3 linked regions of the Rattus norvegicus genome follow. The protein of the gene in region 3 interacts with the protein of the main gene of each other region in a pairwise test. Links are inferred from orthologs where the notes say so. Each region holds a gene or a part of one and is shown on either strand. Other genes may lie near its edges. The genes, in order: Ccnb1ip1, Kifc3 and Prkaa2.

Evidence for each region.
Region 1: the proteins of Prkaa2 (region 3) and Ccnb1ip1 interact in binary tests that used the Homo sapiens proteins (3 or more experiments, as listed by UniProt). The two-hybrid records come from large-scale screens. The link is inferred for Rattus norvegicus from reciprocal best matches to the Homo sapiens genes PRKAA2 and CCNB1IP1.
Region 2: the proteins of Prkaa2 (region 3) and Kifc3 interact in binary tests that used the Homo sapiens proteins (3 or more experiments, as listed by UniProt). The two-hybrid records come from large-scale screens. The link is inferred for Rattus norvegicus from reciprocal best matches to the Homo sapiens genes PRKAA2 and KIFC3.

The regions. Positions count from the first base shown.
Region 1 is NC_086033.1:26,487,944-26,498,212, reverse strand, and holds the end of Ccnb1ip1 (E3 ubiquitin-protein ligase CCNB1IP1), read left to right. Parts: intron 1-174; 5' UTR 175-307; coding exon of another isoform or gene 308-310; exon of another isoform or gene 311-3,509; coding exon of another isoform or gene 3,510-3,585; intron 3,586-3,593; exon of another isoform or gene 3,594-3,994; intron 3,995-5,154; coding exon of another isoform or gene 5,155-5,174; coding exon 5,175-5,471; intron 5,472-7,177; coding exon 7,178-7,511; intron 7,512-9,003; coding exon 9,004-9,203; 3' UTR 9,204-9,751; downstream 9,752-10,269. UniProt on the Homo sapiens protein: Ubiquitin E3 ligase that acts as a limiting factor for crossing-over during meiosis: required during zygonema to limit the colocalization of RNF212 with MutS-gamma-associated recombination sites and thereby establish early differentiation of crossover and non-crossover sites.
Region 2 is NC_086037.1:9,915,530-9,926,209, reverse strand, and holds part of Kifc3 (kinesin-like protein KIFC3), read right to left. Parts: intron 10,414-10,680; coding exon 10,348-10,413; intron 9,914-10,347; coding exon 9,770-9,913; intron 9,683-9,769; coding exon 9,443-9,682; intron 9,152-9,442; coding exon 8,978-9,151; intron 8,567-8,977; coding exon 8,419-8,566; intron 8,343-8,418; coding exon 8,212-8,342; intron 7,328-8,211; coding exon 7,216-7,327; intron 6,466-7,215; coding exon 6,284-6,465; intron 5,658-6,283; coding exon 5,553-5,657; intron 4,018-5,552; coding exon 3,887-4,017; intron 3,525-3,886; coding exon 3,401-3,524; intron 2,782-3,400; coding exon 2,652-2,781; intron 2,561-2,651; coding exon 2,331-2,560; intron 2,101-2,330; coding exon 1,966-2,100; intron 1,488-1,965; coding exon 1,379-1,487; intron 1,305-1,378; coding exon of another isoform or gene 1,170-1,304; intron 657-1,169; coding exon of another isoform or gene 652-656; exon of another isoform or gene 630-651; intron 446-629; coding exon 420-445; 3' UTR 1-419. UniProt on the Homo sapiens protein: Minus-end microtubule-dependent motor protein. Involved in apically targeted transport. Required for zonula adherens maintenance.
Region 3 is NC_086023.1:125,101,687-125,112,466, reverse strand, and holds the start of Prkaa2 (5'-AMP-activated protein kinase catalytic subunit alpha-2), read left to right. Parts: upstream 1-3,456; 5' UTR 3,457-3,719; intron 3,720-3,901; 5' UTR 3,902-4,149; coding exon 4,150-4,243; intron 4,244-4,319; exon of another isoform or gene 4,320-5,788; intron 5,789-10,780. UniProt on the Homo sapiens protein: Catalytic subunit of AMP-activated protein kinase (AMPK), an energy sensor protein kinase that plays a key role in regulating cellular energy metabolism.

The sequences.
Region 1 (10,269 bases), on a different chromosome or scaffold from region 3:
TTATGACTACTTGGCTTACCATTATTCTGTTCTATGAGTTTTTATTTATTAAATGGGTTTGCTTGCCAAACAGGTTATGAACCATACATAATTCCTTCACACTTTTTATACATGTTTGTAGAAGGAATCTGGAAGCACACACAGCTTATGAACAGCTTCCTCTCTTCCTTCCAGAAATGAGGGGTAAAACCCAAGAAGTACAAATGTTCAACAGTCAGGAGAGAACACCAGGTTGACAGCATCACATTTCCTGTCTGGACCTTCATGCTATAAACCAGTTGTATGAAAAAAATGATCGCATGGTTTAATGGTAAGTCTTGAGATTCAGAGGTGTTTGACATATACAAGAATCACGGAGAATTATGTTTTGTAGTTTGTGGCCAGGTGCTTGAATTTTAGTGTTTAAAAAGCCAGCGATCTTGGAAGGTGGTATAGTATAGTGGTTATATGCAGTATACATAGTAGGCTTCTAGTTAGAGTGGCTTGTGTATCACTTCACAAGTTTTAACCTTGGCACGTTTTCTAATCATTTTATCTTAGATGGGAATGACAGTATAAGACTTGAAGGGTAATTATTCTATACTACCTAGAAACTCTGATCTCAGGGCTAGAGAGGTGGTGGTGTGTAAGAGTGGTTGGCTTTTCCATGGAGACTCACAACCTTCTGTAGTCAGCTCTAGTGTCAGGGGATTTGCTCCCGTCATCTGGCTTAATGTATACACTGCAGACATGGTGTGCAGACATAGGCAAAACACCTCTATGTATGTTAAGTTCTGTGTCTGCCAAGTGGCCTACTCATCAGGGCCATTACCATTGGCTCCCAGAGTTTAGTTCTAAAATTAGGCACGGTATGGAATGAGAATATACTGTAGATGCCCATATAACTGAGCATATATCATTTTTTCAGCAGACTAATCTTGGTTTGGCACTAACCAAGATTTCATAAGGCAATGGTCTTTTCTGTTTCATGGGCTTGATCCCCGTCAGTCTTAGCTTCTAAAAGCTTCCCTATGTTGGAAGTAGACTGTTACTGTTGAGCCTAGCTAAGATTTTATCTGTCATAAAAAAACTGGCTTGTCTCCTCAGGAAGTGTGCATAGATATAGAGAATTTTTTCATTATACTAGTATTTCACAGTGGTTGACCTTGGGAGTTATTGGAACATTCATGTTTCTGTTTTAAATGATTTGTTGATTAATAAAATTTTAAAAATTTAATGTGTTTTGAGTGTTTTTGCTCGAGTCTTAACCATTTATTCATTTGGTGCTTGAGAGCAGAAGGGGGTGTCAGAGTCCCTAGAACTGGAGTGACAGGCAGTTTTGAGATGCTGTGTGGGTGTTGGAAATCAAACCCAGGTCTTCTGAAAAAAAAAAAAAAAAAGTCAATAGCCCTAACCATTGAGCCATCCCAAGTAATGAATTTCTTTTCTATTCCCCCCCTCCCCCCAGAGGCATGGTTATCCTTAACAGTCCCAGTTATCCTTGAACTCACTGTATACCAGGCTGGCCTGGAACTCCCAGATCTGCCTGCTTCTGCTTCCTGAGTGTTGGGATTAGAGGGGTGTGCTCACTGGGCTCAATTAATAATAAATTTCAATGTGTGGGTGGGGTGTACTCGAAGGTGAGAGCCGACTCCCCAGAATAGTGTCACAGAATCAACTTGCAAGTCGGGTGATCAGGAACACAGTAAACCCTGACAGTTCCACATGTTGCTGTCCATTGTTTATGCTCTTTGACACTTAATGAGGTTGTACTGTGTTTGTATTCTTTATGTGTCTGGGACAGTTAACCAGAAAAAACTCAAGTTATGGTTTACTCATGAACCTACTTAAAGAAACACTGCTGTCCTAAGTTAAGGTAGAAGTAAAGCACCTGACCTCAAGCCCATATTAAATATGATATATATTAAATATCCTGTACCCTGCTGTTTCAAAACCAGCCTGCCTAAGGAAAACAACTTCTCCAGTCCCTATCCTTAGCTAAAGAATCCCACCATGAAGCATGTAGTCTGCATTTTCTTGAGGGCTGGCTGCTGAGTGACTGTCCTGTGTCATCATTATGATGGCCTGTTTAGAACTAGAGATGCTAAATCTCTCTTTGAATAAAGCCAGCTATAGTTGTTGGTGGTTTAAATTCTCATCTGTTATTTTCTTCCTATAAACTACTGACATAACTGGTACCAGTAGGATTTAAGTTGCTAGGGGCATACAAATGTTAGAACCAATTGAGTGGACTGAAGGAATATGGTTTCCAATGGCTGTAGCTTTGTTTAAAATGCATGAAAAACAGGTTCTATCTCCAGCAAACACTCCCTTGATCCCAGCATTTAGTAAGTTCAGAAGTTCAAGGTCATTGTTACACACCAGTGTAGGAGACATGAAGCCTGGGAGAAAAGGGAAAGAGGTTTAATATTGGGAAACATGGTGACCTTTGTGTGGCTGTTAATTCATTCACAACAAGTTCATGTCCTTTGAAGGTGGCTGCAAGAAAGTGGCATTAGTTTGCATCCTAGCTACCTTCTTCTAATCCTCTTCTCAGCTTAATTTTAACAGTGGAAAAAACCACTGTTGCTACAGGTAAGCTCAGAAGGGCAGAGTTACAGCAGTGTTTAGGAGCTGGAGAGGTGGCTCAGCAGTTAAGAGCACTGACTGCTGCTCTTCCAGAGGTCCTGAGTTCAATTCCCAGCACCCACTTGGTGGTTCATAACAGTTTATAATAGTTTCATGGATCCTATGCCCTCTTCTGATGTGCAGATTTACACACAGACATAAATATATATATTTTATATATTTACACATATACATAAATCTTAAGTTTGTCACTTTACTAGCAAAGATGCCTCAAAGTTAAGACTCCTGGAATTGGAGGGCTTACCTCAACAGTGGGACATCCATGTGGAAACACAAACATGTAACTTTGGGAAAGGGTCTCACTGTATTTCCTGGCCTAGCCTGGAACTCGATCAGCTTTTTTTTTTTTTTTTTTTAATGTTTTATTGTATATGAGTACACTTGCTGTCTTCAGACACACCAGAAGAGGGCATTGGATCCCATTACAGATAGTTGTGAGTCACCATGTGGTAGCTGGGAATTGAACTCAGGATCTCTGGAAGAGCAGAACCCAGGGCTGGGGTTAAAGAAATCGCGCCATTATGTGCCTGGCTAAAGATAAGTCTTAATTTTCTTTTCTTTTCTTTTCTTTTCTTTTCTTTTCTTTTCTTTTTTTTTTTTTTTATACCAGGTCTCTATTAACCTTAGCTGTCCTAGAACTCTGTAGCTCTCGACTCACGGAAATCGCTTGCCTAAGCAGGGATTGAAGGTGCTGCCACCACCACCTATAACTTCCTATCAAGCGCCTTGTTAATAACCAGTGCAGACAGACTTAAAATAAGTTATTTCATTAACTGTAGATTGACCAGTAAAAACAGGCATCCGATTACCTCAGCAGTGAGTGCCTGGTGCTGCCCAGCAGCTCGCCTCGTGCTACCCATCAGGCCTTGCGGGCACCACGCATGCGCTCTGACAGCTCAGCCACGCGAATCCTGTCTTCAGTGGAAGGCCGACACCTTTTAGCTTGTCTTGCTACAGGTATTTGCTTTTCTGTGTGTGAGGTGGGGGAAGTCAGGAGATTAAGAGAAAACTGTGGGGTCATGTTCTGAAAATCTTGGCCTGCCGTCATCTTGTGTGACCTCCCCGGCTGCCTTGTGGCAATGTGGAGGCTGCACTTTGACCTCAGCTAGGAAGTGCGCTTTACCCTACTGGAGGTAAAGTAAAATTGGCCTCTTCTCATGTGAATTGTTTCAGGAAACGCAGCAAGGGTGTCGGTAAATCTGAGGACAGGGTCTCATTGTAGCCCATAGTTGCCGCAGGTTCGAGAGACTTCTCAGGCTGGCAGGTTCGAGAGACTTCTCAGGCTGTCGGTCTGTCAGTCGGTCCGCAGTACAGGTGTGACATTTGAGATGAAGGTGTCAGCGTATCCATTGCCCCTGTTACTCAGGTAACATTGGTTTGCTTTTGAGACAGCATCTTGGTGTGTAGCTGAGGCTGGCCTCGAAGCCTAGGGTGACCTGGAACAAAGTCTGTCTTCTGAGTGTTGGGATTAGAGGTGTGGCCCATTAATCACACTACTAAGGAGACCTTAGTACTAAGTATGTTGAATGTGCTTGCTTTGTCTTTGTATATAATTGATACACCACTTATACAATATATGACTTGTTAAAGCTGCTGCTTTCTATGGTGAACATTATTGAAAAATAACTTTAGACTAAGAGAATTTGTGGAAACATTTTAAATCAAACCATAGCAATGTTAATAGGTGTATTATTTAACTAAAAATATAAACAGGCATTTCAATGTAGACTTTCCAAGCTTCATAACAGGTAAATTAGCCTCATATCTAATTTTATCAGGCAGCTAGTCTTTTAAAGTCAAGGCAGTTTGGTTAAGGGATATGAGAAATCAAGATGTATAAAATAACCTAAAAATACCACTTAGATTTTTTTTTTTACTGAGAAGTTCCTGCAGCTATGTGCAGTCCCATGTTTACCAAGTAGGAGGTGTACTAGCCCTAACTGGCCTGAACTCACTGTGTAGAATGGCTTGACCTCGAGCTTTAAAAACTCTGTCTGTTTCTGCCTCTCAGGTACTCTATGACCTGGTACCACCATTCCTGGTCATTAGTAGAATGCTGTATGTTTTGGTGTTCGAAAAATGCCACAAGGGACAGATTTTATTTTTGTTTCTTTTTGCTGTGTGATGTTTCTAAACATTTGCATGTGCATAATGTTTTTGACATTGGTAAGAGTTGGAGGGCTGGAGAGATGGCTCAGTGGTTAAGAGCACTGACTGCTCTTCCAGAGGTCCTGAGTTCAAATCCCAGCAACTACATGGCGGCTCACAACCATCTGTAATGGGATCAGATGCCCTCTTCTGGTCTCCTGAAGACAGCTACAGTGTACTCATATATAATAAATCTTTTTTTTTTTAAAGGAGTTGTAATTATCTATATATATGACTTTCTTCATGACCTTGGAATGAGAAGGCATTGAGGCTGTATATACGTTCATTAAAACAATGTCCAGTTTTTTAAAAATAGCACTTTAGTAAAGTTTCATATTCACTATAATTTGGCTCACTAACCTTCTTGTTCCTTGTTAGGATTCTTTGGGACACTCGTCATGTCTTTGTGTGAAGACATGTTGCTGTGCAATTATCGGAAGTGTCGTATCAAGCTCTCTGGCTATGCTTGGGTCACGGCCTGCTCTCACATCTTCTGTGATCAGCATGGCAGTGGTGAGTTCAGTCATTCACCAGCAATCTGCCCTGCTTGCAACAGCACCCTTTCTGGAAAGCTAGACATTGTCCGGACAGAGCTCAGTCCGTCAGAGGAGTACAAAGCTATGGTATTGGCAGGGCTTCGACCCGAGGTTGTTTTGGACATTAGCTCCCGAGCATTGGCCTTCTGGACGTACCAGGTTAGTGCCCAGGGGATGGGGGGGTGCCTCAGTTCGTAAAGTGCTTGTGTAAGTGTGAGGGCGAGAGCTAGGCTCTCCTGTGAGGAAGACCTGATAGGCAACATCACCCTGCACAAGCACAAGCACACATGCACACAGACAAACATACACTGAAGTGTCATTTGAAGCTTACCGAGGATCTGCGTTTCTCTTGGTGTGAGGTATCAAACCCGGGGGCTTGTGCTTAAAAGGTAGTGCTTTCCCACCGACCTCAATCCCTAACTACCCTCTGAGGGATTTCCTAGGAAAAAAGCCCCTTCATTATACTTATATTTCATATAAATACGTGAATGCATAGAAAACTTTGTTTATATTAAGTATTTGTCATGTGCTAAGTAGATACTTGTTTTTATATTTTGTGAATAAACTCTGAAAAGTGATTATTAATATTACTAATGCTGGGGCTGGAGAGATGGCTCAGTGGTTAAGAGCACTGACTGCTCTTCCAGAGGTCCTGAGTTCAATTCCCAGTAACCACATGGTGGCTCACAACCATCTGTAATGGAGATCTGATGCCCTCTTCTGGTGTGTCTGAAGACAGCTACAGTATACTGACATACATGAAATAAATCTAAAAAAAAAAAAAATTACTAATGCTGGAAATTAATACGGCAGCAGTTATTCCTTATCCAGCTAGTTCTCCAAGTAACCACACAGAGACCTTTTAATATTTCAAAGCTTAGGCCTTAGCTGAGTAGATTTAATTAACCACCTAATCCCACCCAGTCATGTGGCAAGCTGCACCGTCCAGGCTCTTAGTCACATGTCTCCTCTCCCGTCTCCTGGTGAAAAGTTTCCTTTTCTTTTCTTCCCAAAGTTCCTGTCTCCCTCCTAGGAAGTCCTGCCTATCTCTCTCTACTGCCCAGTCACAGGCCTTTTATTGACCTTTTATTGACTTGGGGAGCAAGGTTTTCACAACAAAGGCTGGCGTATGAGAGATTTCATTCGTCTTAGGGCAGCCAGACGAATATCTATATCGAGGGGTATAGAATTTAGCGTTTTCTTACATAGCGGCACCAGACTAATCTCCAACAACTGAGCTTGTGCTTCTGTTTTATTGTTTATGCTGTATTCCAGCTACTTTAGCTAGAGGGTTTTTTTTTTGTGGTGCTAAGAATCAGGCCCAGGGTTGTATATATGTTAGCCATGCCAAACTGTTTTCCAAAGTGGTTGTACTACTTGGTTTGCTATGTTCTAGTTACACGTTCTGCCCAACATGGGGTCACACATGTGTAAATTTTAGGAAGCAACAATATCTTGAGGTCTTATTTTACTCTGGGTCGTTGGGAAAATTGGACATCATCCATGTATCCTGTAAATATGAATTTTTTTCCTTGGTTTTTGTGCCACGTGGCCCAGGTGGCCTTGAGTTTGATCCTCCTGCCTGTATTTCTTGTCTGCTGAGAATCATACATAAACTTTCACAGCTAACTTTTCTGCTCTCTTTAAAGCTTAACTTTCAGGCTGTGTGTCCCTTGTGGATAAGACATGCTTGCTTTGGTGGCCTAGTTTTCTGAGCAGCCCTTTTTCTGTAGCCCACTCATTGTATGTTGTGACCGTTATAAATATTGTAACAGTGATGCCCCTGTGTAAGCGTTCTTTCCACTTCTGCGTGGATGAGCATTCGGAGTCTATAATGTTGTGCTGATTCTTATCTACTTGGACAGGTGCACCAGGAACGTCTCTATCAAGAATACAATTTCAGCAAGGCTGAGAACCACTTAAAACAGATGGAGAAGATATACACGCAGCAAATACAGAGCAAGGACGTAGAATTGACCTCTATGAAAGGGGAGGTTACCTCCATGAAGAAAGTTCTGGAGGAATACAAGAAGAAGTTTAGTGATATCTCTGAGAAACTGATGGAGCGCAACCGCCAATACCAAAAGCTCCAAGGCCTTTATGATAGCCTCAGGCTAAGGAATATCACTATCGCTAGCCAGGAGGGCTCCCTGGAACCAGCTATGATCCCACAGTCTGGAGTCTTTGGCTTCCCATCAGGTAAGAGGGAATCTCACGTTGTGCTGTGTCATTCCCCACATTCAGAAGACTGAGAGTGATGGACAGGAGTAAGGTGAGCTGTGGGGTCCTTGTCTTACTCCGTACACTGTTGCTCTCAGGTGGAGTGCATACGTTTAAGTTATTTTTATTTTTATTTATTTATTTTTTTTGAGACAGGATCTCTGCATAATCCTGCCTGTCCTAGAATTCACTATGTTGATCAGGCTGGCCTCAAACTCACAGATCTGCCTGCCTCTTGAATTCTTGGACTTAAGGAGTGCACCACCATGCCTAGCTGGAATTATTTTCAGTTTGAACAGAGTTAATCTCTGCATAGTAACACGCTGAGCCACCTTGCTGTCTTGGACTGAGCAGTTCTTATTTCTGCCTTTTGATCCATTTGCTTGTTTAATCTGTTATCACGTAATTATCAAATATATTTTATATGCTAGGCTCTTGGTCATGATTCCAAGTAAGAAGGATGTAATAATTATTGTTGTCTATGCACTTCAACATCTAGGATGACTCAGGGTCTTTGCTGATTGTTGGCTGATTGTTGGCTCATTCCCGGTGGCACCAGTGCAATAGTGTCCAGCAGTTTTTTTCCTCAGTATTAGCACAGTGTATAAGTTGGCATACACACTTAAAGTCTCGTGGTGGACTTTTCCAAGTACTTAAATTTTGGTGTTAGAGGCTAGAGAGAAAGATTCAGAGGGACAAAAATGTCCTGGAATGGGACTGAGAGGTGAGAAGAGTGTGCAGACAGAATGTCCCATGACTGGGACAGGGAATGTCTCACGGCTAGGTGGAGTGGGAGGCAGAGGCAGGTAGATCTCTGCCCACTGCTCTACAAAGCAGCTTCAGGACTGGAGTGAGACCCAGTCTAAAACACAACCTTTTCCTAACGTCATTATTTATAAATGGCAATTCTGTCATTTAAAATGGCCATTGAATATATCTTTTTTTAATCCTTGTACATGTTTTTTACTCTCTTGGACATTTTTAAGAATATTTTTAATGTGTGTGTGTGTGTGTGTGTGTGTGTACACATGTGCATTTCCTATGGAGTACAGAAGAAGGTGTTGGATCCTGAAACTGGATAATCGTGAGCCACTGTGTGTGTGCTAGGAACAAAACCTCAATCTGTTAGAAGGGCACACTTCACCACTTAGCCTCTCCTTTTCTTAGCCTGCTGTCTTTAGACAGATAGAGTCAGCTATTCTTCTTCCTGAAGTCTGTTAAAGCCAAGGAAGGTGTGGGAGAAATGGTCAGATGTTTACTCTGCTTTGATTTTTCACAGAGGGAATAGTATATTCTGTGGTAGGGAAGGGTTGAGTGACATGGCCTTTGTCTAGGAGATGAGTTTAAGATAATTATGTTATCCATCTTATAGGAGTTGAATTTTGTTAATTTTTGTTCAGTGGTTGTTAGTTTTGTCCCTAAAGATCTTTTAGGAATTATTCTTACTTTCTTCCCTAATTTTCTCCCCCAGGGAATAGCTCAAAGTTTTCTTTGGACCATACACCAGCTGGAAATCAAGGTGGTGGAGATGAAGATGTTCAGTTCAGACCATTTTTTGTGTGTTCTCCCACAGCACCTGAACCTGTTAACAACTTCTTTAGTTTTGCGTCTCAAAGCCATGAAGCAGAGCAGCAAGTCTGCAGCAGGGCCTTTAAAGCAAAAAGAATTTAGCTCATTTTTTATTTCAAGACTGTTTTCCTGCATCCCTGGGTTCTCTTCACATGTCGGCCTTAGAAGAAGTTGGCTTGCAGTCGGTATGTGGCTTCCTGTTTGGTTTTTTCACTGTTTGCTTAGGGCACGGGCATTTCATGAATGTCAGTCTCTAGTTTGCCATTGCTCACACAGTCACACTGCTGCACAGATCGTGTTTCAGACCAAGCTGTGTTTATGTTTATGTAGCCACCAATGTTGTATTTACATGGCGCTTTGGATTCCAGTGTGTGTATGTTGAGTGTGTGCATTGATTCTTCTGCCAGTATATTTCTGTAAAAATTATGGTCTTGGAAAATGATGGCCAAAATAATGGTCTTAGAAAATGGTGGCTTGCAATTAACATGTACTTTACAGTCATGTATTTTGGAGGTGTGCTTATGCCAGTGGCTGGAAGTGCAATTTGATGCATATGTGTTCTGTTTATCTTTAAAAAAATTTATACTGATAAAATTATTTGTTGATTTCATTGGTATTTGTTTTAAAATAAAACTGCTTTACCTTTTAAACAGTTGTTGATGTGTTTATTTGGGAATGGATATATTTTTATTTTTAATTATGTGTATCCCTGGATATGTGCACAGAAAATTGAAGACTTAAGTCTCTACTGTTCTAATCACTTAATTAAAATGCTGAATAAAGGCCGTCTTTATTTAACTGCACAGCAATACAGTAATGACCCAAGTAGTGGCGATGCACTCAGGAGGCCAAGGCTCGAAGCCCTCTGAGTTCGAGGCCAGCCTGGTCTACAGAGTGAGTTCCAGGACAGCCAGGGCTACACAGAGAAACACTCTCTCAATAAACTAAACAAACCAAAAAGGACCAAGGAGCTTCTTTCTTAATCTTTTATGCAAATCTTGTAGGGGAGAAAATTGTTTTTTTCTGGCCTTGCTAACAGAACATTGTTAAGGCTGTGAATTCAGGTGAGCCTGGAGTTGCCCTGGAAGTCCAAAGTGTAGTCAGACTGATTACAGGGTTTTCTTGGGTCAGTCAATTCTGAGTAGGTTGAATATGAAGTAAAAGTAGA
Region 2 (10,680 bases), on a different chromosome or scaffold from region 3:
AAGGACTTTTATGTACACCTAGGAACATTATATACATGCCCTAAAAGGGCTCCCCTCCTCAGGAGGGTAGCTAGAGATGCTCTTGCTCTCCCCAACCGGTTCCTCAAGCCTCCCTCCACTAGTAAGAACACCTCAGCCCAAGGGCCAGGTGGGGGAGAGGGCCCACCCTCCCTGCAAGGGCTACATTCCCACGCCCTTGGCCTACCACCAGGCAGAGTGCCATCCCTGCCCTTCCAGAGAAGCCCCATGCTTGGGTGCCCAGAGCCACACAGAGACTCGCTTCCTTCTGAACATGTTTCTTATCTCTGAGGAAGAGCAGGACGGGAGAGCCTCCATCTCCTGGATTCATGGTGGGTGTTACAGCAGGTAGCCAGGCCAGAGGGCCCACCCAGGTCCAGGCCTGGCATCGAGGCACATCTTCACACAGGCACTGGCCTCAACTTCCCTGAAAAAGTAGAAAAGGAGTGCTCAGCCTCTTGTCTCAGGAGGCAGCCCATAGCAGATGCAGAGCAGGGGGCCAGCGAAGCACAGCGGGCAGGCAGCGGAAGACAAGGCTGGCCAATATGCTAAGCCCTGACAGAGCCCTGCAACCAACAGCGGGCAGCCCCAGGCCGCTGACCCCCACTTACCTGGAGACTGCAGCCCCAGCTGTCAGGCTGAAATCAAAGTGATAGCCGTCTCACTTGGGGAGGGGTGCTTGGCCCAGCTGCCACCGCCCACTTTGGACCCAGTGAGGGGCCAGGCCCCCAAGTGAGGAGGCAGGAATCTCAGGTCACAGCCCTGTGGTGAGGCCCCCTTTTCTATTGGGGTTGTCTGGGCTGCTTTGTGGGTAGAATCAGGTATCACCAAGGCGAGGGCCCCTATATACACAGTGTGGGCCTCAAGTCAGTAGCACATGGTAGGAGCTTCTAGGGCCAAGTCCTTTGTCACCCTTTCCAGGGATTAGTAAAACAGTTCTGCTTTCCGACTCCTGCCGGGGCAGGCAAGGGAAGGAGACTAAACTCCCATATGCTCAGCAAGCAGCTTCCCTTTGTAGGGTGCAGTCTCACTCTATAATGTTCACTGGCCTGAAATTCACTGTGTAAACCATGCTCGCCCAGAACTCGCCCCTTCTGCCTCTGCCTTCCAAATGCTAGGGGCACACGGCACAAACTATCGTGCCCAACTACCTCTTTTCTCAGACTGTTTGGAGACTGTATCGACCAGGCTGTCCTCAGACTTGAATCCTCTTGTGTCAGTCTCCCGAGTAGTTGAGATTATAGGTTGAAGCCGCCAGGCCTGGCTCAAGGCTGTTTCCTCCCTTTCTAAGACAGCATATCCTTAGCTAGGAAAGGATGGCCTGGCCCCTCCCATCCAGTCTGCTCCTAGACAGGCTTACCTGACGGCTGCAGTTTCCTTCGGATGGATCCCGGGCGGCTACTGGTCCCAGAGCCAGGGGCAGAGTGGGCTCGTGCTGTAGGCTGTGGTGTCTGGCAAGCTGGCTCCCACTGTGAGCAGAGATGGCAGTGGGGGTGGAAGCTGAGGCTGCCCTGGCTCACTGTCTCTCGACACTGCGCTTCCCTTCTTCCCTGACAGTGCTTGCTCATCTACAGAGGGACTAATAACACTACACCTCGAGAAGTCACAGGGCAGGAGTTAAAGATTATCTACAACTTAACGTGCATCTACCATGGGCAACTGCTGGCCCCTGAGACAAAGGTGGCCAAAGGGGTCACGAGTAGTGCCATACAGCCTTAATCTCAGCCGTCAGATCTACTGGGTTTGAGGCTAGCCTGGTCTCCAAAGCAAGTTCCAGGCCACTCAGTGCTACCTAGTGAGACCCTGTCTCAAGAAAACAAAAGCACCACTGAGCTCTAGTCTCACCCACCTTCGGGTAGCTTCCCTTCTCACTACACCAGCCTGCCTGCCCCTTCCCTTACTCAGTACCAGCCTCCCCTCCCCTTCCTCCCCTCTCCCATGCAGTACCTCTAGATGCTCCTGGCTTGACCAGGAACCTAGCTCTGTACGGCGGGACCCAGGGCCCAGCTCCACAGAGCGAACCCTCTCAGCAAACTTGAGGGAGTACAGAGTCTCACTGGTGTTTTTCTCCACTGGGGACACCTAGGGGACAGAGAGCTCAGGTCCAACCCTTGGCAACTGGCTGCCCCCTTGGGCTACAGGGGGTAGCAAGCAGCATGGTCCCCGAGGGTGCTTGTGGTCAGGGGAGACCACTGTGGGCAGTGAAAATGGGCAGGGACCTGTGTACTACATGAGGGTGTTGGGGAGGTCTATGTGGGGATTGGGGAAGGCAAACGGCCTGGGGAAGCCCTTCCTGAACCCCAAGCCCTCACCTGTACCACCATGAGGGTCTTGCTGTCACCACTGAGTGAGTCCTGCAGCAGGTAGGTGAGTTTGGAATTACGGAAGGGCACATGGCCCTGTCGAGAACGCAGGGCAGCGATGACGTCCCCCAGGGCAGACAGTGACCTGTTGATGTGCTGTGCCTCTCGCAGGCGGTTGCCTTCAGCCCCCGACTTCCCTACACGCTCGGAGCCAGCCAGGTCCACCAGGTTCAGCTTCCCTGCAGGCAGGGCAAAGGGGCAGGTCAGCACTGCCCCAAGGATACCAATGCCTGGAGGGGTTGACCAGAATGCCCACCGTGTGTCTCTCACCCGTGGTGCGGAGGCCTGTGCTGCAGTCCACGCCTCTCACCGTCACAATGAGCAGAGCATGGGAGCGTGAGCTGTGTTCATTCAGGTTGGTGAACTCGGTGGTGCGGTTGTTGTAGCCAAACTCAAACACCTGGGGGCAAAGACAGTGGGGCTCCCTTGGGAAGGGCAATGCCACCCTTGTGTTTGATCTGGACACTCAAGTCTTTTTGAGGTTTTTTTTTTGTTGTTATTGCTTGGTTTTAGGCAGAGGCAAGGTCATACTGTATACACCAAGCTGCCCTCCAGCTAGCTCAGAGCTCTGCCTGCTTTTGCCTCTCAGACACTGGGATAAAGGGCTGTAGGGCATCACTTCTTGCTTGCTATATTTAATTTTTTGTTTTGTTTTGAGATCAAGTCTCACTCTGTAGCCTTGTCTGGCCTGGAACGTCTAGGTAGAGCGGATGGATCTCACAGACCCACCTGTGTCTGCTTGTGTGCTGACACTAAAGCTGTGCACCCAGCCCTGTTTTTGAGACAGGGTCTTGCTAGGCAGTCAAACTGGTTTCAGATTTACAACCCTCCTGACTCAGCTTTACTCAGCCTTACAGGGTGCTCCTAAGTCTGCCTTTCCTCTCAGATGAGGAAACAAGGCTTGGACTTACCCAAGCTGCATAGTTGGGTGGTGGCAAAGGCCACCCTGGAGCCCAGTTGTGTCCACTGGAGCAGCTAGGGGTGGGCAGGGCCTCCCGTACTCCCCCAGGACTCCTTACCTTGTTGATATCATCCACGCTCTGCACCTGGAACTCAGTCAGCCCTGGCACATACAGCTGGCCGCTGCCATCTGGACACAGTCGGATCTCCAACTTCTCCTGAGGCTCTTTCCCCAGCAGGTCCCTGGAGCAGCAAGGGAGACATTACTTCTCCCCTCCTGCTCTGACCCAGTCCCTAGCCTGGGATCTGCCCATGCACCAATCTTGGACCACAGGGCTGCTGACCTCTTCTCTCCATCCACCTCCCCTGCACTCAGAAAAGAGGAAACGGACTTCCACAGAAGTCTGAGGACTGTGCAGCCTAACTGGACGGGGGGCCCCATCCCTACCAAGTACAGTGCAGCACACAACAGGGAAAGGAGTCCCAGGTAAGGAAAGAGGACTTACCTCCTAAATTTGGGCAGATCTTCCTAGCCTCATCTAGAACTTAGACTTGGAGACCAGAAAGCCCCCTACCAGCACTGCAGAGCTCTGGCCCAGGCCCACCTGAGGACTTCGTTGTAGATCTCAGCTGCACTGACGGTGATGTTGTACTGCCAGTCGGACGCCTTCTCCTGCACCTCTGAGAAGAGCAGTTGCAGGGCCCGCTGATTAATGCCTGGGTTCTCGGGGGTGCCCTGTTGGCAAAAGTAAAGGCCAAGTGGCCCCACAGATGCTCACACATGTTACCCTATGCCCTCAGGTACATACACCCCTACAGGCGAGCCTCTTCTGCTGTCTGTCCTCAGATTACCCTCTGCTAGGTATAAGCACGTTTCCCTACCTTGAAGGTAGCATTTCCCTGCCAGGAAGTTAGTGAGCATGAAAGGGGTGAAGAGCCTGACAGACTATCCCTGCGGAGCACCAGGGTTATGATCTACTGGGCCTCCTGGAAGGGGCAGCTGAAATGAACAGAGCCACCCACTGCCCACTGGGAGGCTCCCAGTCAGGGAGCCAGGCTCTCTGGGTGAAATGCTTGAGGCTGGATGAAATGACCACCTTTCAGAAGGAATCGAGCCCACCTGAGTGGACCGTAGCCACCTCCCCTCTGCTCTGTAGGCACTTCCCTCATCCCATCCGTGTTAGATCTGTGTCAAGGACGCTGGCTGCCGGGCACACTCCAAAGCCCTGCAGGTCTGCCTGTCGAAAGTTCTACAGCAGCTCCCTCAGGTACCCCATCCCTGCTGGAGCGTCACTTCTACTCTGGCTGTCCCTGGCACCTGCGGGGAACCTGCTGATTTACTGTGCTCACTGCCACTCCAACAGTCAGGTGGGACCCTTGCAGGCTCTTCTGTCATTGCAGGTCTCTCGGGCCTCAGCAGAGAGCCCAGGACAGAGCTGAGTACTCTGGAGCCACTGTGCCCACCCCCTTCCATCCCATCTGTGTCCTGCTAACCAGAACCGAGTATGTGAGTTAGGGGTGGGGGGTCTGGGATGGTTACAAGAGGTGTCCAGTGGCCTGACCAGCAGGAAGTGACAAGCTCTTGTGCAAACTTCTCTCCCTAATCCTATGTGGGGGAGTCCACACCAGTCTCTAGTGAATCAGGAAACTACTAACAAAGCAATATGCCACAGGGCTAGTCTCCTCTCCGTCAGACTCTTCAGCTCTGCGCTAGGAGGGGAGACGGAGGCCTGAGGATTGCACAGCCCTCACTTTAATCCAAGCACTCAGGAGGCAGAGGCAGGTGGATCAAAGGTCAGCCTGGCCAACACAGTGAGTTCCAGGACAGCCAGGGCTACATAGAGACCATGTCTCAAAACAACAGCAAAACAAAATTCTACTCAAGTAGAAGGATTCTCAGGCTATCGGGATGAGTGGAATGGCATCAGCCCCCAGGGAGGCCTTGAGCCATGGGACGGAGAGACTGCCTACCTACATGACTATAGTTGTGGGAGGCTGGGCTCTCCGAGAAGGGCCTTATCCCAGGCGTGTGCCCAGAGCCAGCCTTAAGCATAGTCTGAGGCAGCCACAGCAAAGCACGGGGAATATATGCAAGGTCTCGGATGGCCTGTCCCCATATCAAGCCTATGGAGCAGGCTCCTGGGAAGAGCTTATTGTTTGTAGGCTTGGTCTCTTGGAGCCAATGCAGGAACAGCAGTGCAGGGGGTTATGAGACTAAGACAGAGCATACACTTAGGCCCCTAAGTCCCGCCCCACTGGGCAGACACCTACCTCCATTGTATACGTCTTGCCGGCGCCTGTCTGGCCATAAGCAAAGATGCAGACATTGAAGCCATCGATGCAGGAGGTGATGAGGGCCTGCACCTCCTGGAACACCTGGGGAGACATGGGCTGGGGAGCATGTGGGGCCCCACAGCTCCAGCATCAGCCGCCTCCCAGCCAGCCCTTCATCCACGAGAGCACAGGGGCTGGGACCTGTTCCCAGCTCGTCCATTCCCAGGGAAGGACCAACCAAACCAAGGCTGAGGATATATGTGCCTGACACATTCTGACGTAGGTCTAAAGGACAGAGCAGACGTGAGCTCTTCCGAAGCAGAGAGGAGTGTGAAGTTGTGACTCCCCCAGCCTTGGCACTGAGCAGTCAGCGACAGTGGAAGGTTCTAGAACGTTCCATGGAACTGTTACAGGAAAGAAACTCAGAACAGGGGAGGCCAATCTCCAGGCCTACTGGCAGATGAGTGAGGTCTTGGGGTGGGAGGGGCCATGGAGTGGGTAGGCTAAGGTCCCTGGGTAAGGCAGGCTCTGTGTGGCTCTCCGTCCCTAAGGCCTCTGACTATACCTTCCCACCTTCTTCTTTCTTCCAGGTAGAAAAATGACCCACAATCCTACACTTAGGTTGTTTTTTTCCCCCACCTAGCCTTGACCCCTGTCCTGTGTCTGTCCTTTCCTCTGTTGCTTCTTCCGTGTCCCCACAAATACCCTGTTCGTGGAGCCACACTCACATCCTGCTGGGACGCCCACGGGGAGAAGACCTTGTCCAGCTCGAAGGACACAGGCTTGCCCTTGTGCAGCAGGTGGATGATGGAGTCATCATCAGGGTCAAAGGTCACAGCATTGGTTGCCTCAGGTCCTTCCCCATCCTCCTTGGTGACTGGCCGGACTCGGGCAATCACCCGGATGTTTCCTAGATTGGGTGACGGAGACGTGGGGGGGATCAATGCCAGACTGCAATTCCAGGCAAACTAGTGGCCCAGGAGCCCCATCTTTTATGCAGAGACCAGGGAGCAACACAGTATCCGTCACTCAGAACACTGTGTGAATTCACTTACTATAGTTTCTTCCTGAGCAAAGTCAGGATGCTTTGACCTGTGGCCAAACAATACAGTCAATCTTGGAAACACTCTCTGTGGACCTCATCTAGCAGAGATGTTTGGACTCCATGAACCAAGGGATTTATTCTATTAATCTAAAGGGGCATGGGCAATGCTAAGCAGGACTTGGGTACTGGACGGACAAAAAGGACAGCTATATGTGTGCTCCCAGCCCTGGTGACAGGACACACCTGGTGATGGTCACTGTCCCTTCTCTCAGCCACCGTGAACTTGGCAAGGGCTGTGGTATGGGGACACAGTTACTTCCCCAGTGTCTGCAACAGTAGCTGGCACACAGCAGGTGCTCCCTGGGGCTCAGGGCAGGGATCAGTGACCCCCAAACCTGGAACAAGTGCTACCATTGCACAGTGCCCTACCACATCCCCCAGGGTGGGCAGAACCTACCATGGGCAAGGAGCTTGGAAGATGATCAAGTTCAAATCTGGGGTGGACCATACACTAGGTGTGTGTCTTTAAGCAAGTTTCCTGACTTTTCTGTGCCTTGGCGGTGGCGGCGGCGGCAGCAGCAAGTACAGCTCTGACGCACATTTGAAGACACTCACCCTTCAGCCGCACCAGCTCGTTATGGCACTTCTTGCGCAGCTGCAGCTCCCGGCGGTACTTGCGCAGCAGCTCCTGGTTGTTGCTGTTGACCTCCTCAATGGCCTGGCCAATCTGGGGAGCAGGCACAGCGCCTTCAGACGCCTGCTGTTGGCCTCCCTTCACTGGCCGCTGGGGTCGCTACCCTCACCAGCCCGGGCTCGTACCTGATAGCAGACAACCTTTCCCCATAATCCCTCTGAGGAGGTATAGCCAGTGCCCTCACTTTATAGATGGAGAAAAAGAGCTCTAGACTAAGACTGAGCGAAGACTCGGGACTGAGGACCTGGCTACAGCATGACCCAGCTTCTCTCAAATCTAACCTTTCCCGAGCAGCTAAGCACAAGAAGACATTCCATCGGTTCTCTCCATGGGTGAGAGGGACGGAGAGACATTAACCCAAGATTGAGGATGCTCAAATATGACCTGGGTTCTTCACAACATCTGTGTATCACCGACATAATTCTTTAAAGAACTATTTTCTTTTCCCAAAATATATCCGTCTCTGCAGAGCTGTCAAGTGAACCTGAGAAGCCAGTGGCTATGAAAGGCTCGGTCACACGGGAGACACTTAGGAGTCACTGGCTAGGTCTCACACAGTGTGATGGTTTTAAAAAACAAAATGAGCACAAGGATAAAGTTCTGGGGTAGAGCTTCTGCCTAGCGGGTGTGAGGCCCTGGGTGCAATCCCTAGCACGTCAAGTACATAAACAGAGCAAGCCAGGGATGGTGGCGAGGCTGAGGCAGGAAAATACGAACGGACGTCAGCCTGCTCGAAAAGCCCTGTCTCAAATAAACAACCCTGGTAGATAGATACAGGGGTACGGCAGCACAGACGGAGCTCATGAGAGGACAGTGTGTGCATGTGCGTTTGTGCCTTGTGGGAGTAAGGCAAGAGGGGCCTCTGAATAAAGGTGACTGCCGCTCCCGGCTAACTCCCACTGGGCTCCCTCACTCACCTCAGCTTTGACACTCCGGAGAGCCTCCTGCAGCAGCAGGGGGAAGCCCCGCACCTGGCGCTTGAGCCCATTGTAGTCGTTGGTGAGGGTCCTCAGCGCAGGCTGCAGCGTCAGCAGGTTGGTCCTGACACCTAATGGGGCAGGGTGTTAAGGCATCTGCGGGTGAGGCAGGGGCGTGGGGGCGGGCGGGGCCAGCTTCCAGCTCACCTGCCAGGTTCTCGTGTACAGCCTTCATCTCCACCTGGGCCCGCGCAAAGGCCTCCTCAATGGCCCGGTTCTTATCTTCCTCCAAGGACTGCATCTCCTCCAGCATCTGCCCGTGCGCCCGCTCCAGCTCTGCCTCATACATGGCAATCTGATGGCCAGGCCAGGCCAGGAAAAGGTGCAGTGACGGGGCAGGGGCAGGGATGAGGAAGGGAGGGGCAAGAGCGGGAAGAAGGCATGAACGGAAGTGTTATGGCTGGTGGTGTAGAGGATGGAGTGGCCTGCTTTCCCCCGCAGGGCTGTGAGTCTGTACAGCCATCACCCCCCTGTATTAGCCCCAGTTCCCACTGGTCTGTACACATAGATGGCAGCCCACATGCCCCCAAGGTACACAGGCTCAGCAGATTGGAAAGAGCAGGGGCGGGACAAACTGAGCACAGCACTGGGTGGCCAGGGACAGCCCCTCCAGATCATTTTCCTGTGTTCCCCGTGGCCAGGGAGAAAGAGAAACTGAACCCCAAGTCTGGGGGGGTCCCCACTACAGCCGTCTTGGCCTGCACACCTGAGCCCGCAGCTGTATTGTCAGCTGATGCGAGTTCTGCAGCTGCTGCTCCATCTCCTTAAGCACCTGCCTCTGCATGGCCACTTGCTCCTGCAGGTGCTGGTTCCGGGTCTGGGACTCGCTGAGGGCCTGCTTGGTCTTGGACGACTCTACCTCCACTGTCTTGATGACATACTGCAAAGAGAGGGAAGGACAGGGCGGATCACTGTCAGAGGCAGCTGACCCACAAGTGCCAGCCCAATGACAGCTGCTGCTAACACCTCTAGGAACTGAAAGGCTCTGCTTCTGCAGACTGCTGCAGGGCCTTCTGGTGTCTTGTGAAGGGGAGCCTGCTGGAAGCCTGACAGCCCGGGCTGGGCACAGACTGAAGAGGGACATCGACAACAGCAGGTACACCTTTCAGGGACAAGCCCTGCCCTGAGCCCAAGAGTCCTTCAGGGCGGTGCAGCCTCTCTGGCCACTCACCTTAACAGGTGGGGACTGGGCCTTCAGACTGGCGATGGTCTCGTGGCTGTCACGCAGGCGCCGGCTGAGTCGCTCCTCTTCCTGTGCTTTCTCAGCCAGGCAGTCCTTGAGCCGCAGCTCTACCTCTGCCAGCCGGTCGGTTTTCTGCTGCACCTCCAGGTTCAGCTCCGACAGCATGCCCTTGTTCTCGGCCACTTCCAGCTGCAGCTGGGATAACCTGTCCCGGAGCTGGGTGCTCTCCTGCGGGTGGTCAAGGCAGCCGGGTGGGAACAGGGTCATCTCAAGCTGAGCCCACAGGCCTAGGGTGGAGGCTGCCTTCCAGCCTACCTGGCTGTGCTCGCAACCCTGGCAGGGCACCACCGGCTGTGCCCGAAGCTCCTGAAGCTCCGCCTCACAGCGCCTCAGCTCTTGCCTCAGCTGCTCATTCTCCACCATCAGTCTGTCCCGGTGCTTTTCCACGTCGGTGCCCCCCTGTGGAGAGCCGCCGGGGCCCAGAGGAGGCATAAGCAAGGCCGTACCAAGAGATGAGAACGGAGGAAAAGAGACAGCAGGAAAGAAAGGGGAAGGCAGGCAAAGCAAGAGGCCAGGGCTCAGAGAGACGTCAAAAGAAAGGCAGGAAAGGAGGCCAGCAAAGCTCGCTCCCTCCTGCCCCGGCCCCTCTCAGTCTATTTTCCTTCGTGTGAAAGTCACACAAAGTCAAATTTATGCACAGACTTCACACTCCTTCTTGACGGCAGCCAATGAGATCCAGCCCCCTGCTCTGTGGTGTGAAGTGACACGTGTGAGACAAGACGGCCTAAGCCAGGGTAGGGCATGGGCACTCAGAGACAGCCACATCCGGAGGTGGAAGAGTGACCACGGCTTGGCACCCACCCCTCCCCTCAAGAAGGTCCTGGGGTCCTCACCAGTTCTGATCGCAGTCGGCTCACTTCCTGGGCCTGGCTAATGAGCTTTTCCTTTAGATTCTCCACCTGTAGGCACAAAGCCAGGTCCTTACCCCACCAGTCCTCACTCAGGCCTCTTGCCCAGCTCCAGTCAATAGCCAGCATGGCTTCTGATCCAGGACCTCAAGTTTCCCTATGTTCAAGCACCAGGCTACGCTGGGAACTCTGGTAAGCTAGCCTGTTCCCAGTTGCCTTCAGTGCCCTCTCCCTGCCAGTCATGGCTCTGCAGGAAGGCCCGGAGAGGTGCTCTAGAAATTCAGGACACCGCACTAGCACAGGCCCCTCTGAAGCCCT
Region 3 (10,780 bases):
ATAAACAAAATGTAAAATTATGTTCATAAGGCAATTTAGAGAAATTGAACATAAAATATCCCGCACTGTTAAGAGCTTAGTGTATATTTTGTTAGAAATCACTGTACAGCTATTCTAAAATAAATTCCTAGTATGCTAAAGCTTTGAAATGAGATATTTACTAATGAGACAATCTATCTGGTTATTTGTTATTAAATATCCCAGGAAACTAATAATGAAAATGTAGAGAATTAGGCTGGCAAATGTGAACAGTATCTATCAACAGTCATGGGGTCTACTTGGCATCTTGCTATGGGTAGCCCAGCCTATCCTGGACTTCATGATCTTCCCATGTCTGGCCCCATCCAGGCTGGAAGTACATTCTGCCCATCTTTAAACTCATTTTCTCATAGAATGGGTTTTCAATGTGAATTTTGAACCTGTATTACAGACAAGATCCCATCAATATGACTGCTAAATGTTTAATTTTCTTTTTATTTGAAATTGAAGAATAATAAAAATGCCTTACCACAAATCTATAAAATGTGGTTGCTTTTGACTCATGCTTCTTTCTCACCTCTGATTGGGATGCTGAGATATGTAAAATTATGCCTTATATTTAACCTGGGAATCTTAACTGCCTTGCATGGCTGTTACAAGATGCCTGCCAGAATGACTGAAGAGGAGGTTTAGTTTCAAAGATCACAGTTGGTCATGGTGAAGAGGTAACAGTAGGGCCCAGCAGCTCATATCATGTCTGTCAGGAAGCAGAGAGAACGCCTGTGCCTGCTGATGCTTTCTTCTTTCCCCTTTTATTCTACCTGGGCTTCAGTCTATGGCCTGGTGCTACCATATTCAGGATAGGTCACCCCCTTGTTTGGAATTCCTGTCCACAACTGGGTGGTGCGGTGCATGCCTTGTGAGTACTTGGGAGGCAGAGTTGGGGAGGTCTGGAACTCGCTAGAGTGTCATGCGATTCCATTATAATGAAATGGAAGGAAGAGGACAGCTTGGAACTGGATCTGAGTCTGGCCGGCTTTGCCTTTAGCTTCACAGCCTTGGAAAAAAGGAGGGAAAACTGAGTTTTATCATCTATAAAATGGGGACAATAATGTTCCCTCATGACAAATAACTGCGTTTAAATGAACTTCTTAATCAAGAAAGTATTGTTTAGCATAAGACCACAAGGTTACTGGAATAACAAAGAAACTTGAATTGTCAGTGAACAGGCAGCTCAACGTGCTTTAAGATCTCAGCAGATAGCTTTCCCTGGTGTAGCTTCACAATGTAAAGACTCTTCGACATCATTTATTAGATTATTAGGACAACACAGACACACATATGTAACTCTCACCAGAAACGCTTTCTCATATTCCCCATCCGAATGACTAGCAAGGGAATGGTCTTTAACCAAATAAAAGTTCAGCCTTAAAAATAGCCAGGAAGCTTTCTCAAATTTACCAGCTAGGTTGAGATTCGTAAGTGAGACGTCTTGTCAGCAGGAAAGGTGATCTGAAGAGCGAACAAAAATAGCCCGTGTCCGACAGCTGTGATGTCTATAATTTATACGCTGAGATCACCTCTCATCAGATCGCCATGGCGTACACACAAAAGAGAGTCAGTCAGTTGTATGTTTACTAGGTCTCAGGAGATGAAATTTTGTTATGCCCATTTCCTAGGTTCACTCTTTACGTACAAACATCGTGACTTGAGACTTCATGTTTGAGGAATGTGACTATGAAACTCTATCGGCATGCACAGTGTCACAGTTGTTTGACTAACCTTTAGTAATTTAATCACCAAACAGCAAATAATCAGTTTTCTTTGTGTTTCTAAATTACTTTTTTCATGGGAAAAATTGCAAGTGTTTATAATGTTTTGAAATGTGTTTGTCTTAGTCAGGGTCTCTATTCCTGCACAAACATCATGACCAAGAAACAAGTTGGGGGAGGAAAGGGTTTATTCAGCTTACACATTCACATTGCTGTTCATTACCAAAGGAAGTCAGGACTGGAACTCAAGCAGGTCAGGAAGCAGGAGCTGATGCAGAGGCCATGGAGGGATGTTACTTACTGGCTTGCTTCCCCTGGCTTGTTCAGCTTGCTCTCTTATAGAACCCAAGACTAGCAGTCCAGGGACAGCACCACCCACCCTGGGCTGGGTCCTCCCCCTTGATCACTAGTTGAGAAAATGCCTTACAGCTGGGTCTCATGGAGGCATTTCCTCAATGGAGGCTCCTTTTCTGTGATAACTCCAGCCTGTGTCAAGTTGACACACAATACTAGCCAGTACAGTGTTTGTATGTGTTCAGGGAACTGCTATGGAAGTAATGGAGGTATGAAGTTTCATATTCCTGTAACAGGAAGCAAATAATCTTCAGGTATGGAAGGATCGACCAACATTAAGTAAAGCAAGGAGAGAAGGGGGAGGGGGAGGCAGGGAGGAAGAGATTGCTTGATCATAAATTATTTGCCCACTGTTAATACTCTGGTCATGCTTTGGATTCTCTTTACTATTTTTTTACTTTCATCCTCAGTAATCCATTTCTTTAATTTGCACTTTTACATCATTTTTGTTTCCCACAATTCTTTGATCCCTTCTGTGTTTTGCATTTACCTGAACATGTGAATTATTTCCTATATTAGTATTTCTCCTTTGTCCAGTCACACACACACACACACACACACACACACACACACACACACACACACACACACACACACACACAAGTGCTGAAATATACTTAGGGCTCTGTTTGTGATTTATTGAGAAATTTTGTTTAAATTAGTTAGAATCGAGAGTCCTGGAGAGGGTGTCTTTTATCCCTATAACACGATTGTCTATATAACTGAATGAAGAAAAGAAATAGAAGGAGGGACATAATTGCTCCTGGCTACAGTGGATATGCTGGTTTGTCATTTGTCAAATTGACACAAGCTAGGGTTATTTGAAAGGAGGGAACCTCAATTGAGAAAATGCCTCCATAAGATGTAAGCTGTAAGACATTTTCTTAATTAGTGATCAATGGCCCATTGTAGGTAGTGCCATCTTTGGGCTGGTGGTCCTGGGTTCTGTAGAAAACCAGGCTGTACCAGCCCTGATGAGCCAGCCAGTAAGCAGCACCCTCCCGGTGCTAACCCCCCATGGCCTCTGCATCGGGACTGCCTCCAGGTTCCATGTACTGTTTGAGTTCCCATCCTGACTTCCTTCAGAGATGAACAGTGCTGTGGAAGTGTAACAATAATACCTGTCCTCCCCAACTTGTTTTTTGGCTATGGTGTTTTATCACAATGAAAAAAAACCTTAACTAACACAACGAAGAAGGCTTATTGTAGATAAACGAACGTACAGGCAGAAGCAGGGACGTTTAGGAGAGTCCAGGGTGAACATGGGCAGACTGAGCAGGGCTATGTGAGGAGAGAGGGGGAGTGGGAGCAAGAGAGGAGCCAGGCCTAGAGGGGTGGGTGGTCTGGGCTGAGAGATTAGCACAGCCAAAATGGCTGAATAATCTAGGGACCAGGGGACCTGAGGGAAGGGGCTGGAGTCCCTGGGCTGGAGAGTTCGGGGTAGGAGTCGAGGTATGGCAGGCAGGAGGACCCTATCCCAGTTAGGGACTGAGGGATGCTGAGAGAACCTGGCAGCCAGCGTCATCTTTGATATGTTAATGATAGGCGTCTCCTTGGGCAGTTTGTCCAGGGTTTCGACCTAACAATAACGTGACAAGGAACTACAAAATAAGCGTGAGTTCTAAAACAATGGGGTCGCTATCTGAGGAGGGTACGGACTAGAGCGTTCCCAGTCAAATAAACCTTGCCTGGGGGGAGCGTGCCAGGGGCTAGGGAAGGGCCGCCCTCCCCGCCTGGTCCTGCTGTCCTGAGGCACGTCTCATGGTCTGCACCCCCTCACCCCCACTTCTCTTCAGATTCTCCTTTCACCTCGGTCGCTCTCAGACTCATCCCTTCCATCTTCACCGCCGTGGGCTTTCCTCAGGACGCTTCGGGCTCTGCGCCTCCAGCTCGCGTCCACACACGCCGAGCCGCGCTCACCCTACCGCGCCCCAGGCGTCCCCGTCCCGCCCCCCGGGCCCGCTGCACTGTGGGTAGGCGGTGGCGGCGGCGGCAGCGGCGGCGGCGCTTAGAGCCCGCGGCCCGGGGAGGCCGCGCGCCGAACATGGCTGAGAAGCAGAAGCACGACGGGCGTGTGAAGATCGGACACTACGTGCTGGGGGACACCCTGGGCGTCGGCACCTTCGGCAAAGTGAAGAGTGAGTGCAGCGGCGCGGGCGCGGGGCCGGGTGGCAGGTGGAGCGCTCGCAGGCGAGCCCGGGGCACAGGCACCTGGCGCGGCAGCCGGGGCGTGGGTCAGGGGGACCCACGGTCTGAGCTGTGCCTTGGCGGGGGTGTCTGCGAGCACCCTGTCTTTTCTCTACCCGTCAGCTCACTTGTCTGCAGAATTGGGCGACTGGCCCAGTCCAAAGGGCCCCGAAGCGTGGGGAGGATGGGGTAGTCACGGCGCCGCGGATTGGGAGTGGGTCTCCCACTGGTGCCAAGCGCTCTGCCTGGAGCAGCATCTGTGGTCTCACTTAATCCTTTACGTGGCGTAGCCAGGGTGCGGTCCTCACCTTAAAGGTGAGAGAACGCGAGCTCCGAGGCTTCAGCGGCACGCCCAAGGTCACAGAGAATTGGCAGATTCAGGGTGAGGTCTAAAATGTCCTCCAATTTTGGCCTTGCCGATAAGGCCCCTGGCTTCCCCAGATTCTTCCCTGTCCCAGGCCTTTGATGGTGGAGTTGACTAGGGGCATGCCTAGAGCTGAGAGGTGGCGAGTCCCCTCTGCTGGGTGTGTGAAAACGCTGGAATGCAGCTGGTTGGGCAGAGGCTTTAGGGGAACCCCAGCTCTGCAGGTTGATTGGTGTGTGTAAATTGGTTCTAGGAAGACTTCTGGGGTCAGGGTCTGGGAAAAATGTTCCTTGGTAATGGAATTTGGGTCCCCAAGATGTCAGACTTGCTTAGGCAAGGCGTTTGTTTGATGGCAAATTGTGGGTTTTGGGGGGAAAAAAAAACAGGTTGCTTTTGAAATTTCAACTCCACTTACTAGTTAAGTATTAAACTTTGCTTTGTTTTCTTATTAGTTAATAAGAGTCACATGGGTTTGGTTTGATTACCAGCTCTTGTTAAGAAGATACTTGGTAGCGAGTTGAGAATTAAAAGTGAAACGTTAGCTTTTTTTGTTGAATAAATAGTGGGTAAGCAGTCTGGGAATTTTATGCTAAGGCATATTTTTCACATTTTAACCTCCAGTGAAGACTTGAATAGAAGGCAGGGACTCATCATTCCTGCGAGGATTAACTCCTCTCGGTCTATCTAATACCCATTTGTACAATGAGAAACACTGCTTATTGAATGCTCTTACCACATGCGAGTTACTGTTCCAGGCAACAGAGTTCTAGGAAAGCAAAACCTGAGCTTTCTTGGGACTTTTCCGAGAGGGAAATGCAATCAGAATACACGTGAAAAATGTATGCTCCCTCCTACTGAGAAAGGCAACTAGGGGAAGAAAGGATGGGGACTTTAGTTAGGCAGATTATATTAAGGTGGTCACACATGGTCTCACCAAGTGGGTATTTTTGTAAAGACCTAAAATGTTCGTAAAGTTATTTGAAGTCTTATGAAATCGGGATCTTGTAAGAACTGTGGATAGTCGTGAGATGGTCCAGAGATTTGATGGGTGATGTTGACACCATCTTTGCTGAGAACTGCTTTGCTGGATTGGCAGTACAAAGTTATGCAAACGGCTGCTTTGCCATTTAGGGTAAGTTATATAACTTAGCCGTTTATGCTTTCATGTTCTGCTAAATGCTTTTGTTTGCTTTTGAAAAAAAATTTATTGTACTCTCGGTGTAGAGTGCAATACCAACTCTGATTCCTCAAACCATTGTCACGGGATAATTTAAAACTATTTGGTTATATTCTTTGCTTCTAAACCACCAGCTTCCTAAAGTATAAATGGAACTGAAGGGACCTTTGATTTACGAGAAAAATCTTTTTCTTGGAGAACCCTGGTGGAATGAGCTGTTTGGGGGTTTTCCTGATGTTGTTTGATCTTCCCTAAAGAAACACTGTATGGTGTGATAGTTACTATTTATGTCAAATGCACACAAAGAAGACTTAGCTAGGAAGGGAATCTGAATGAAGAGTTACTTAGATCTAATTAGCTCGTGCACATGTTAAAGTGGGAAGCCCCCCCCCCCCAAAAAAAAATTCTGGGCAGCACTGTTCCCTGAGATTGGGTCCTGTACTGTGTAAGTATAGAGGGATGGCTGAGCATGAGCAAACATCCATGCATGTGTTCTCTCTCTCTCTCTCTCTCTCTCTCTCTCTCTCTCTCTCTGTCTCTGTCTCTGTCTCTGTCTCTCCCTCTGTCTCTCTCTCTGTCTCTTTCTCTCTCTGTCTCTGTCTCTCCCTCTGTCTCTTTCTCTCTCTGTCTCTGTCTCTGTCTCTCTGTCTCTCTCCCTCTCTCCCTCTGTCTCTCTCCCTCTGTCTCTCTCCCTCTTTCTCTGTCTCTCTGTCTCTGTCTCTCTCTCTGTCTCTCTCTGTCTCTCTCTGTCTCTCTCTGTCTCTCTCTCTGCTGGTGACTGAGGATGTGACTGCTTCAACTTCCTGCCTCCGTTTCCCTCAAAAGGTCTGTAGCCTGGAGATCTGAGAGAAAATAAACCCTTTCTTTCCTAAGTAACTTTTAGTCAGGGCATTTTATGACAGAAATTAAACTAGGTCGTATGGGTTTGTAATCAGTACGGCCGTAGTTGTTAAGTAGTTAAGTCAAGGGACTGGTGAAACAGAGCACACGCATTATAAGAATACGTTTTAATCTATTATTTGACAGTTTCATACAATGTGCTTTAATTAGTGCGCTCTCTCTCCCCCTCCAACTCCTTTCATGCCCTCCCACCAAATCTCCATCCCAATGTCACATATGTATATAGTGGTGCAGATATGTGCATGGGTACGGGGCCAATCCACTAGGGGTCACATCTCTGAAGAAAACTAGACCCCTTGCCCCCAACCCCATAAACAACTGTGAACTGTGTAGGTAGTTTCTCATCTGAGAGTGGGCCTTCTTGAGCTCCTCCCCTATGCAAGGCATGTGTAGTTTTAAAAATGTGTATTGAGGTATTATAAAACATATTATAGAAGTTACTGATTTTAAGTATACAGGTCAACAGTTTTTAGTACCAAGTACCAAGTTTACCAAGTACCACAGCCATCCATGTAGCTTAGCTGGAGAAAATTTATCTTATCCTTTATTTTAAATGTAGTTAATCCCATTCCCACCCACAACCCTCGGATACAGCCATTTACGCCGAATATGTATAAGGACTGTCTTTTCTGGAAAAAGATGAAGGGGTTGTGGAGCATGGTGTCTCTATGTCTAGCATTTTGTTCTTGAGTTCATATCTATCACTGATTTTTTTCCTTTTTATTGTTGCTTGAGCTGTTGTATGCTCCCCCTCCCCCCATGCTTCTTAGCTGCTGGACATTGTCTTGCTATACAGGCTATTACAAAGAGCGCCTCCATGAATATTCACACGCAAAGGCCTGCGTGTGGATGTGTGTTGTTTCCCCGAGAGAATACTTGGGAAACTAACTCAAAGAGAAGACATATATAGTTCAGCCATGTTTAAGAGGTTTATGTCTGTGGTTACTTGCAATGGGACTTTCTTTGGGACCAACAGCTCCTGAGTAACAACATGGAGACATATTTATTATGAATGCTTAAGGGCTTATAGTGTAGGCTTATTCCCATCTAGCCTGTAAATTAGCCCATTTATTTTTACCTAAATTCTGCCTTGTGTCTTGTTACCATGTCTCAGTCTCTAGTCCCATGTCTTCCTCAGCATCTGGCTGGAGAATTCTCTCCAGCTGGACTCTCCTGGACTCTCCTTCCCGAGTTCTATCTCTCTCCAAAGTCCTGTCCATCCTCTCCTGCCTCACTATAGGCCGTCAGCTTTTTTTATTAAACCAATCAGAAGGTGAGAGAGGGAGTGTTTACAAAGTTTGATGTATCTGTACGAATAACAGTATCAAAGTCCGGTTTGCAATCAGTGCTCTCCTGGCACAGAACTCAGCATTTGAGCAATAAAAGACAATCCTTACACAGTGCACAATAATATTATCCCAGCAGTTACTTGATCATTTTGTTCTGTGTTGTAATGAGGCAGAACACTGTGGTAGGAAATACGTGAAGCAAAGAAGCTTACCTCATTAAAGATTGGCTCACCTCCTACTCTCTACTGCCACCCAGTATGGCCATCGATGGTGCTATGAACATGGCAGGGATTAGTCCCTTGCTGAGGGTGGGGTCCAGTCTGCTTCACTAACTCGAGACTGACTCTTGAACACACAGCATTTCGAGGACTACTCGTATCCAAACCTCACCACTGCAGACACACATCTTTTCACACCTCGGATGGTTACTTAGCAGTGGGGTTGCTGGTTCCTAGCATCGTTTTGTCTTTTGAGATGCTGGCAAATTGTTTTCCAAAATGGTCGTACCGTCTTATATCCCACCGACATTTCCCTCCATTTCTTTATCAACAGTGGTTATTATTTGACTTGTTACATTTATTCCACTGGGCATGGAGTTTTGACCTTGCATTTTAGTAGTGACAGTGTTTTACTATTGGCCATCATTTCATTTATTCAATCATACACATATATATATTTTCTTAAATATAAATATATACATATGTACATAAATATATACATATGTGTATATATATATTTGTTGTTTTGATTTTTGAGATAAGGTGCCACCATGTAGATATGACTGTCCTAGAACTTGCTATGTAGACCAGGCTGGCTTACAACTCTTAGAACTCTGCCTTCTGAGTGCTGAGATTAAAGGCGTTCAACCCACCTGGCTATGTGCTTGTGTTTAGTTGAGGTGTACAATGAATGTCTTGAATAGGGTTTGCGCTGTATGACAACTTATCTTGGATTTGATTCCCATACCACTTGAAAGATGCTGGAACTTTTCTGCGTCATCTTGGTCTTTAGTGGAATCGTTGCCTTTCTTCAGTGTGTAAGTAACAGTGGGATAGATAAACTATTGTTATAAAGCTAGTTCGTCCTTTGTGGTTTGTGGCTTTCCCATGCACTTGCTAGTCCTGCTTTTTTCCTGCTATGAGAGCCAGCACCATGGAGTGGTTCCCAGAAGCTGAGTAGATGCTGGCACCATGCTCGGAGACTTCCCAACCTCTGTCGCCACTGGCCCAAATAAACTGCCTTACTTAATAAATTACCTGCTCTCAAATATGCAGTATATCAGTAGAAGATAGGCTAAAACAAGTTGCTCATCAACTTTTAAGCTGAGTTAACAGGATTTCTTGAAATAAATTTTTGCTACAAATTCCTTGCTGAATATATATATTCCTGGGGTTGGGGATTTAGCTCAGTGGTAGAGCGCTTGCCTAGGAAGTGCAAGGCCCTGGGTTTGGTCCCCAGCTCCGAAAAAAAGAACCAAAAAAAATATATATATATATATATATATTCCAAACAAAATTCTTGCTTTGTTGGACTCCCTCTCTCCACCTCCCCACCATCTCCCTCTCTTTCATTATAGAATCTTATGTATCCCAGAATGGCATCAAAGTCAATACACTGCCAAGCCTGGCTTAGAGTTTCTGATCCTCCTGTCTCTACTTCCCAAATGATAGGATTACAGGCATGCACCACCATGCCCGTTTATGAGGCTGGTACACATGCTAGGCAAGCACTTCATCAACCGATTTGTCTGATTTCTCATTTTCTTAGTTGTGTCTTTAAAATATAAAAGGTTTTAGGGTTTTTGAGCTTAGAGTTATCATTTAAAGAGATGGGGGATATCTGTGAGTTCAAGGCCAGCCTGGTCTACTTAGTGAGTTCCGGGGTGGGGTGGGTAGGATCAAATATTTGATATAGTTAAAAGATCTTTGCCTAGGAGATTTGAAAGGCTTGGCTTAGTATCTTTTCTTGTGAATATTTGATTGTTCTGACTTCTACATTTAACTCTGAGATCCATTTTTTTTTGCATTCGTTGCTAAGTATGGAGGTGAGGTTAAACGCTGATCTTTTCCGTGTGCTTATCCACTTGTCTCAGCATGTTTTGTTGAAAGCTCATACAGTTTTAATAGTTACAGATTTAGACTTTATAAAATTAATCTCTTCTATAAACCTTAATAGTGAATGGTTTAATTTTATGAGGCAATAACCACGTGCAATAGAGGAGCGAGGCACATTTATGTACTTTCTCACTTAACTGTTATGCTATTTAAATTTAATTTCAATTGTTGATATATAAATTTATTGATCTAAGTTAAGATTAATAAGCGAAAATATAAATAGTAGTATAGCTTTCATGTAATAACATAGCTTCAAATTACTTTAAAAGCATATAAAACCTTATTTGCTAGTAAGTAATTAAAAACTTATTTAAAATGGACTAAGTTGAATCTTCTCTTCCATTAGGCTCTAGTATTGCTGTTCCTAGACAGTGTCCTAGAGACAGAGTCTATGGGTCGACAAAAATGAACGAGCAGTATGTTTTCAGTTCTCTTGAAAGATTTCCTCTAAGTTGATGGTTTAAAGCTTTACCCATTCTGGTAGGATAGACCTACTGTTTGGAGCTCTTGTAGCTAGACCTCTCTATTCTAACTTATGAAAAGGTGGCATAAGTAGGATGGATCTTTTGTTTTTTTTATATCTGTGCACCAACAGATACTTTGCGGTGACATCAATCGCCCTCTAGACAACAAAGGTCACCAGG